Arabidopsis thaliana: one gene and its partner. Each later gene encodes a partner of the first gene's protein in a complex. Each region holds a gene or a part of one and is shown on either strand. Other genes may lie near its edges. A codon is read from its position in the direction of its gene.

The links.
Region 2: the proteins of CLE41 (region 1) and PXY are in contact, whole or in part, in a crystal structure (PDB 5GIJ), measured with the Arabidopsis thaliana proteins. Residues at the interface, in NP_566754.1 of Arabidopsis thaliana: His88 (codon at 940), Val90 (codon at 934), Pro91 (codon at 931), Ser92 (codon at 928), Gly93 (codon at 925), Pro94 (codon at 922), Asn95 (codon at 919), Ile97 (codon at 913), Ser98 (codon at 910), Asn99 (codon at 907); in NP_200956.1 of Arabidopsis thaliana: Phe161 (codon at 3,722), Ser162 (codon at 3,719), Asn163 (codon at 3,716), Gly186 (codon at 3,647), Ser187 (codon at 3,644), Tyr188 (codon at 3,641), His207 (codon at 3,584), Ala209 (codon at 3,578), Gly210 (codon at 3,575), Glu231 (codon at 3,512), Tyr234 (codon at 3,503), Tyr253 (codon at 3,446), Asp255 (codon at 3,440), Phe279 (codon at 3,368), Phe281 (codon at 3,362), Gln282 (codon at 3,359), Leu301 (codon at 3,302), Asp303 (codon at 3,296), Ser305 (codon at 3,290), Trp325 (codon at 3,230), Trp353 (codon at 3,146), Asp375 (codon at 3,080), Ser377 (codon at 3,074), Lys397 (codon at 3,014), Ile399 (codon at 3,008), Phe401 (codon at 3,002), Arg421 (codon at 2,942), Arg423 (codon at 2,936).

The regions. Positions count from the first base shown.
Region 1 is NC_003074.8:9,044,554-9,047,979, reverse strand, and holds CLE41 (CLAVATA3/ESR-RELATED 41), read right to left. Parts: upstream 1,448-3,426; 5' UTR 1,202-1,447; coding exon 902-1,201; 3' UTR 517-901; downstream 1-516.
Region 2 is NC_003076.8:24,723,641-24,729,952, forward strand, and holds PXY (Leucine-rich repeat protein kinase family protein), read right to left. Parts: upstream 4,605-6,312; 5' UTR 4,203-4,604; coding exon 1,517-4,202; intron 1,341-1,516; coding exon 901-1,340; 3' UTR 697-900; downstream 1-696. Other genes in the region: AT5G61470 (C2H2-like zinc finger protein), read left to right, coding at 1-144. UniProt on the Arabidopsis thaliana protein: Acts with CLE41p and CLE44p peptides as a ligand-receptor pair in a signal transduction pathway involved in the regulation of procambium maintenance and polarity during vascular-tissue development.

The DNA of each region.
Region 1 (3,426 bases):
TGCTTTGATAAGACAAAAAGCTATGTGAGGAAGCGATTCTTGTCTAATAATTTTCTTTCTTCTCCCCTACAGTCTCTTGTCGATCGTTCAACCCAACGAAAGAAAAAGCTTATCCATATTTTTCTGATATAGTTTGATTAATAGTGAAAAAACAATTCATAGATAGAAATTAAATTGCAGTCTTCTCAAATGTGTGTCGAATCGTATAACCTATGGTTGGGTATGAATATATTAGAGGGTACATTGTAACATGAATTATATTATTTAAAGATAATTACTACTTTTTCCGGTAGAAAAGAAAACTACTTTAGATAATTGATATCGGATATAGCTGGTTTGCATTTTCTTTTCAAAATTATATTCAGAAAGGAGACAATTTTGACCGGACAAAACTAGATCGAACAATTATTTGTGAAATGCCTCGAGATCTTCAATGTTATTCACTTAGTTACAAATAGAGTATTTTGGTTAATTAATTAATGGTCTACATTTTATACCAATAATTAAACAATCATTAGACAAATCTAACAATTATAAAAGATTCTATATCCCAAATACTTTGTGAAGGAAATGCAGAGGTGGCTACATATACACACAGTCACATGTGAATAAATAAAGAGTATATATCTCTTCTTTACACTTCTAACTTCAAAACTTAATAGATGGAGAAAACAATATTAGAACGAACAAAAGATTTTAAGGAGATGGAATGGTACCAAATTGATCGATCCAAAGAAATATATACCAAATTCTTGATAATTCATATCCAAAAAAAGTCCATAATAATGAAGCTTCTCTCTGATCTCCATCGATCAGAAGCTTCTCAAATATACATATAATATTGATCTATAATAACTTATCTTTCAAACTCACCGGTAAAAAACCAGATGTGCCAACTCACCTAGTTGGAAATAGGGTTTGGACCACTAGGAACCTCATGAGCATCATTTCCAAACTCTCTCCTTCTAGAAGTGCGGCTGCGTCGTGTGCTAGCCTTTGGACGTAGATCCATTGTTGATGAAGCTGGAACTGAAGATTCGAGGAGAACCCTCTTGAAGGGAGCAACCATAGATGTGGACTGATGACGAGTCATGGGGATTGTAAGGCTACTGAAGAGAAGGAGGGATAAGAAGATGAAGAGAAGGAGAAGAGTACGAGAATGTGATGATTTAGTATTGGTTTGGTCATTTGATGTTGCCATGCAATTTCGAAAAGGAAATAACCACCCCCCCAAGATCCCAAGAGGGTTCAATATCCATTAACCAGAAACGAACAACTTGAGAGCTGGTCAGAGCCGCGAGATAAGCGAAACTAAAGAAGAGAAGAGAAAAATAAGAAGAAAGAAAGAGAGATCTAGTTATTAAGAAGAAGAATGAGCTTGAGATAAAGAGAAAAAAAGGGAAAATGAGAAAGAGAGAGGTTTTCAATTTTTCACACTCGTTAATTTGATTAATAAAGTAAACAAAACAACGTATGTTAAAGATGTGTATACAAAAAAAAGTCACAAGTTATAAAATTACCAAAAGTACCCTTTTATGCAAGCATCGCCTGGAGAGAATGGACATATATAGTGCATTCAGACTAGGGTTTGAATAACGCGTGACAAAACAATTTCCTAATTTTCTTTGGAATAGAGTTACTACTTAGCCCCTGAAAAGACTTGGAATTGTCGGTAGGCATGCCACTGTGGAACGAACAATCTCAATGGAAAGAACAAAGCATGTAATGGTAATTGGGTCATTATACGATTATCAACGAATCTTAAAAGCTTAGACAAAAAGCAAAGGTGATAAAATAAATCAAAGGAGGGGAGGTGGAAGAAAGCAGGGTTCTTGCTTACTTTTCTCTTTAATTTTCCATTTCTTTTCATATTCTCTTTTTTACAAGAAAATATTTGTTTGACTAAGGTGACAAACACCAATTGCATATTAACGTGTATCAAATACTAGTCAAAGAGGAAAAATGCTTATTTGCTCATTGTGTATGGAAGTCAAATGATATACCGGCCGGTTTGATTATACTATGATATACCTGAATTTATTACTTCAATGAATGCCACATCAAATTATGGAGAGTGCTACATATATAGACTTCGGGTATGTCTGGGAAAAACCGCCGAAATTAGGATGTAATGAATTGACACAATAAGAAAAAAATGACGACAGTAATATAGGAGAATAAAACAATCTTTGGTTTTCAAAATAGAAAAAAGTAATATTGAAGTAATAAAACCCGATATATTATTTGGTCTATATCACAGTTTTTCTGATGGATAGAAACAAAATGGATCCTTAATTAATTAGTCTAATGACTTTTTTGCATGGTGTTACACTGTTACGACTTACATAACATATTACATATATACACATGTATGCTGTTTTAAAAAGTAAAGAATCATATATACATAGATTTGTATTGTGTACACTGTACATTTTGGTAAAAGTGTATTCTCATACATCACATGAAAACATATAATATTCACGTATATATGAGTCTGAAAAAGAGCGGTGATGCACATTAGTGTATGGAAGAAGCAATCCGGTGATTTCTTTCGTTCTATCACTAAAATGAACAATATAATATTCGATTTGGTAGACAAAACAATAATATTCGATTACCGAAGAGAAGAGACTGTGCATGTCTCCGTTACGTGGATTGCATGGGGTCCCTCACTTTCTTGGAATGATATCAACGAGAACGATTGTACGTCGTGGTCATTTTCGTCATTTGATGCCTCCTTTTGTTTGTTATATATATATTTATTTATTATATTTTCTTACTTGTTGTTTTTGTTTTTTTTTCCACATTTTATTACTTGATAATTGTTGTTGTTATGCCATTCAGTCATTCACATTGACAACTGAGATACCAGTATACACTGTATACTCAGATACCAATATATAACCATTTTAGCAAATAAAGCTTCGGTCTTGAACTATGCTCCTATTAAGTATTAACATCGTTAGTTAATTTTTTGTTTAACAAAAATAAAACCTTATATATATATATATATATATACCGGCCATTTGAGTATACGGTGTATATTGGTATCTTCTCAGTTGATGAGGGAAAGTCTTTTGTACTAGAGACAATCAAATTCGTGCCCCTCATCTGCTCAAGGATCATCCATATGTCTTGTGCAGTTGTGCCCCATCTTTGTATAGGCTCGCTCAATTAGACTAATCTCATGTATACCATCTTTTCGTTATTTCCACATACAAAAAAGTACAGTTAATTATTTCGAGCTTCATATTTGATTATGGAACATATGAGAGCACGAGTTTCATTTTTTAATCAAAGTAACGTTGATGGTATGTACAAAATGGTTTAAAACAAGAAATAATCATAATAAAGATATTTTTTTTATAAGCATTATTAGATTATTTTTGACATAATAATATAAGAAGATATATATTTATTTCTGTA
Region 2 (6,312 bases), on another chromosome or scaffold:
TCCGACAAGAATTATTTCGGGGAAGATGGGCCAATAGTTCGACGACAATACGAGTGTCAAATTTGTAACAGAATGTTTGCATCTGGTCAAGCACTTGGTGGTCACAAAAAGATTCACTATATGTTCCTAGCTCCAGCCAAGTAACTTGTCGATTTCCACCAAGTGACCATAGAATCTATGAAGCGTACCTAGATTTGGGTGACTAGTTGAGATAAACAAATAATAAAAAGAAACATGCTTTCTTTTCTTTCTGTTTTCCGACTAATAAAACATGTTCTATGTTTTTATGTTGTTAACCCTTTTTAAGTTTATTTTCCTACATCAATAAAAGTTGTTTTAAATTTTACTCTGAAATATATTTCTCCAATATTTTATTCGTAAAAATTAAACTAAATTTTTTTTTATCAAAAATAAGTTTTGTTTGACTAGCTATAGGCAAAGATATATAATCCAAATATGTCAACTGATTAAATATTAACAATATAATAAGAAACATAAATTCTTAACATATAAACTTTAATGTAGATGCAAGGAAAAATATCTATATGTCAATGCATGTTAGTTTTTTTTTTGTTTTATGCATGTTAGTTTGCTCCAAAATAGGACAATGATATACAGTATACCACATTGGTGCAATCGATGCAAAGAATACACATGCTGATGATAGGGCCAAGATAATGGACGCCAACTCTCTTTAAATATAAATCTCTTACTCTTAAGCCCAAAAAATGTAGTTGCATGATCGATCTTCCTCAAAGCAAAATTCGAAACATTCCGATATTCATATAACGAAAAGAAACAAAAATACACTCATATCATATATACTAGTAACACCCTTAAAAAAAACCTACAATTACATTAAAAACTCCAAATACAAAAAAAATATATATATATAAACAATCACACCCCAATCCTTTGACATTTAACATCATGACCAACATCAACACTACAAACATCTTCGAAATTGACATCATTAACATCACCAACGACGATCACATTATCCCCTACTGTCTTCCTCTTTGGCTTTGCCTCTTGAAGAATCAACAACACATCTCTCATCGGCGGTCTGTCTGTCGGACTCCGGCTTGTACACAACAACGCAATTCTCAACATTTGTTTCATCTCTTCTCTTATAAGACTACACGACCTACCCATGCTTTTGTCTAGAACTTCTTCTACATCTTCTTTCGTCTTCAACTTTGATCTAACCCAATCCACGATACTGTTACCTTCTCCAAATTCCGGTTCCACCGATCTTTTTCCGGTGATTATCTCTAATAAAATCACTCCATAGCTATAGATATCACTCTTTTTATCCACTTGTAAAGTGTAAGCATATTCTGTAACCAAAACAAACAAAATTAAAATTTTAGTCATATTTGTCAGATGTTGTCATCCCAACAAAAAGAATGTTTAACAAACGGACAAAATTCGAATAATAAAAACAAAGGGACAAAAAAGTACAAAATTTAAAATTTGGGGAAAGTAAAGAATAATCAAAAAAAGTTAAGGGTACCTGGTGCAATGTAACCGTACGAACCGGCGACGACGGACATGGATTCGTCGGTTTGAATAAGCTTCGCGACGCCGAAGTCCGCCACACGCGCCTCGAAATCGGCGTCGAGGAGGATATTGCTAGGTTTCAGGTCACGGTGTACAATCACCGGATCACAATCATGGTGGAGATAACAGATCCCTTGAGCCACTCCAATCGCGATCTGATACAAAGCCGTCCATTCCGCCGCCGCGGTCATCGTCTTATCCCCACCGTGAAGAAGATCGTCTAAGCTTCCATTAGGCATGTATTCGTATAAAAGCATCGTGCAATCTCGATTCGTGCAACATCCAAGGAGACGAACGATGTTCCGGTGACGTACGTTCCCTAGAACATCAACCTCCGCCAATACGCCGCTCTTCCGCCGCCGGATTTTGCCGTTCTCTTTGTTTTTTCCCCAAAGTTTTTTCACGGCGATTATTTCTCCATTAGGCATCTCTGCTTTGTACACTGTTCCTGTTGATCCCATTCCGAGGATGTTATCAGTCTTTGAGAGACACTCAACCACATCATCCGCCGTGAAGTTTAGTCTCTGAAAAGCCGTTAGCTTCCACGGTCCTATATCTCCGCCGTTTCTTCCACCACCGTCGACTCTGTTTCCGTAGCTTTTCTGGAAGCATCTAGTGGCGGCTACAAGGACGAAGAATCCAACCCCAATCGCCGCCGCCAATATCCAAACAATAGCTCCGGCTGTTTTCTTAGGTCGTTCCTCTTTATGATGACCGTCTATATCTGCATTTCCGGCGTTAAACCTATCAGAATTGCAAGGTTTTCCGACGAGATCTCCACAGAGTCCTTCGTTTGAGGAGAAGAACGACGGATTCAGATGAGCGAAAGAACCACTTGGAATCGGACCGATTAGCTGATTATACGAAACGTTGAAGGTTGTGATCGTCTTAGAGCTTCCGAAATCGGAAGGGATTGTTCCGGTTAAGAGATTATGAGAAAGATCTACGTCGGCGATTGACGGAAGAGTTGAAATCTCCCATGGAATGATTCCGTTGAGATGATTTTGGCTGAGATTCAAACAGAGAAGCTTCTCGCAATGTCCGATGTCCCATGGAATCGTTCCGTTGAGTGAGTTTCCTTGTAGTTCAATCCTGTAGAAGCTTTTGCATCCAACGTAATTTGGGATTTCACCGATCAAATTGCTGAAACTCGCTGAGAAGATCTGTAGATTCGGAGCTTTCCATATGTTTTCCGGTAGTTTCCTGTGGAAGAAATTGGTTGAGAGATTCAAGTACTGAAGAACAGGAGCGGTGGCGAAATCCGCCGGAATTTGATCGGTGAATCTGTTGTTGCTTAAATCAACGAAAGTGAGGTTACGTAGAGAGCCGAATCCGATCGGAATTGTGCCGTTTAATCGATTGTTTTGACTCCGAAACCGCCATAGAGATTCGCAACGAGTCAAGCTCTTTGGTAGCTCACCTTCAAACATGTTGGAGAAGAGGATGAGTTTGTATAGCTTGTTTCCATGGCAGAGAGAAGAAGGGATTGTTCCGGTGAATGAATTGTTAGAGACGTCCATTGTCTCAAGTTTACCGTTTGATCCAAGCTTGTGTGGCAAAACTCCGGTGAAGTTATTGTTCCATAGAAACAATGTAGTAAGCTCAGGGAGTTCACCGATTCCTTCAGGTACTTCACCTGAGAGGTTATTGCTGATTAAGCTTAGCCATGTGAGGTTCTTCAAGGTCGAGAAGCCTGATGGGATACTACCAGAAAGCTGATTACTCGAAAAATCGAGAAGCTTGAGGGATTTCAAGTTGCTATAACTCTCTGGGATTTCACCGGTGAAACCGTTTTGGAATAGAAATAAAGTCTCTAGGTTTGAGAGATTCCCGAGTTCTTGAGGCAGAGAACCAGAGAGGCTGCAATTGGAAACGTCAAAGTACTTGAGATTTGAGAGTAAGGCAAACTCCGAAGGTATGTTTCCGTTGAAGTGATTATAACCGATTTCCATGTGTTGGAGCTCTGTTAAGAGTCCTAATCTAGGAGGTAGTTTACCTCCGAGGACATTTCCAGCTAAATGAATAAACTTCAATCTCTGTAAACCACCGTAAGCTGCTGGAATCTCTCCTTCAAAGTAACTTCCACCAAAGTTAAGCTCTTCCAAGAAACGAAGACGAGACACGTCACTAGGTAATAGACCTTCGAAGTTGTTGCTGAACGCATTGAAGACTTTTAAGAACTTAAGCTTGGAGATTCCGGGAGGAAAACTCGAGTCGAACGAGTTACGGCTGATGTCGAGGGTAGTGAGCTTGGTGAGATCAAAGATAGAAGTTGGAAACGAACCTTCCAAAGAATTCCCACTGAGATTTAAGTAGAGTAAGCTCGACAAGTAACGAATCTGTATAGGAATACGACCAGAGAGGTTCCGGTGAGAGAGGTCGAGGGAAATGACTTGAGCCGTTACATTATCACAGACTACACCGGACCAAGAACACCAAACGGCGTCGTTTTGACCGTTAACGGGGACTTTCCAGTCTTGAAAGGCAGAGGGAGGGCCAGAGAGAGATGTTTTAAGGGAAAGGAGAGACAAGAGTTGAGGTGAAAACTTGAGAGCTAAGGAATTGAAAGCAAAGAAAGGAAGTAGAAGAAGGAGAAGGGGATGAAGAACAAGAGAAGGAGAAATGTTCTTCTTTTTCATCGTAGCTTTTAGAAAGAAATTAAAGTGAAGTTGTTTGAGGAAGTGTGGTGATATTGTTGAGAAAGGTGTTAGTGTTGACAATGGTGGATTTAAGGGTTTGAAGAAGAAGAAGATGGAAGAAGAGAAGAGAAGAAGAAGTCATGATGAAGGTGATGATTGTGGAGTGCGTCTAATGGTCTGGCTTTTGTTGGTTAAGGCATTATGGTTTTTGTGTGGGGAAGAAAACAAAAGCAAAGAGAAAAAAAAAACTCAATCCATTTTCCACTCTTCTTTTACTTTTCTTACTTTTTTCAAATTACTGTACTTCGTATACTAGTACTTTTTTCTGTTTGTTACCTTTATTAAGTATGAACCAAAATAAAACGTATATACTATAATTGTAGATTTTGTTTTTGTTTTGCCATCATACAAGTATTGGGTAAAATCAGAAACCAAATCACACAATGCCACTCATATTAAAAACCGATTAATTAGATTTGCTAGTATCTTTTCTTTGTCCTTTAATTTCTTCTCCTCATTAAAATTCTTTTTTTTCCACTATGGTATTCTTTTTAAAAAACCTTTTGCATACAAATTGAATGTTCAATGGAATGTATACGCATGCAGATGTACAAGTACATAGATACACAATAAGCGAAAGTGGACTGTATTTATCCCAGTCACTCACAGGATCCAATAAAGCTAAAATCCTCTGTCTCTCCACTAACTCTCATGCCCACTACATATATGTGTGCGTATATAAGTTTTTACATATATATGAATTACGGTTTTTTTTTTTCGAACAACAATCTCGCGCCTAAAAGATTCAAGATTTTATAACAAATTTATTACACCATTCTTTTTTTATCCTTTCATCAGACCATTCATACGTATAGATATATACGCGTGCATCTCTTTATTACTTTTAGTGAAATGATATTACATTGGGACTTATTTTTCAGTTCGTTTATATATATGCCAAGTAATACTTACGATCACTGAAAATCTACTATTGTCTACCAACCTTAGAAAAACTTGATTAGATTAGGATTGGAGTTGAGAGTTTTATGATTTTAATTTTATCGTAGTCTAAAATAAAGTTATTTTATACGATAGACTACAACATTCCATCCTAAGCATTAGCTTAATTCTCAGCATGATTCAAATCGTAGTGAGATAATTTCAACATTAAATTCTACGCTTACATGATAAATCTTTCAACTATTAGACTACTATAAGAAGAAGAAAAAAAAAATCGTTTTTCTTACATTCTTGATATTTACGAGTTTATTTACTCGTGAATTCATAATTATGAACATGAATTATCTCAATCACCTGGTTCTGCTCTACTAAAAATAATGTGTCGAGCTAGGTCTCTTCATTCTTTAATTTACATGTTAATCTTGTATATACATCATCATATTATGAACACAAGTTATATTCTCATATTTTTCTATTTACTATTTCTATTGATTTTCATAAAATATCTCAAACACATGGTCCCGTAATCCCGTTCTACTAGAAATATTTTGTCTCATTTATTTATTTGATACTACTAGGAAATCCAAGCTATGCCTTTTGCTTATACGTATTTTTTTTGGGGTCACGATGTCTATTTCTTATGATATTTTTTCTTTTCTTTACTAAAAACACAGTAACACAATGAAAAAAATAAATTATCTTTTGTCAATGCTATATATATAAAGTTATAGCTGTAGAAATTGACTTAAGGGCATATAAGGTTTGTATCATGATGGTTGCTTGCCATTATAGATTCACTTTTCATCATTAAGGTTGGGTGAATTAAATATCTCACATTTATTCGATGATCCATAAAGTTCCAAAAAGGAATTCATTATTTCCCAACTAATCACCTAAATTATCGCTTATGCATACATATCTTAAAGACTCCGTACGTACGTGAGTGAGCTTAATGCTATACTATATTTTGAAATCACACACATTCATTTCTATTATATATCGTTAATTCTTTACCCGTTGCATCATAGTTTGCAACTGCATTGGTTCGAATATAATCACTTTGTAAGTGTGGTTAATTAGAAGTCCAAAATCAACTTCTTTTTCTACGTGATGTAGTGGAAGAACCGATAATATCTCAATTAGAACGATT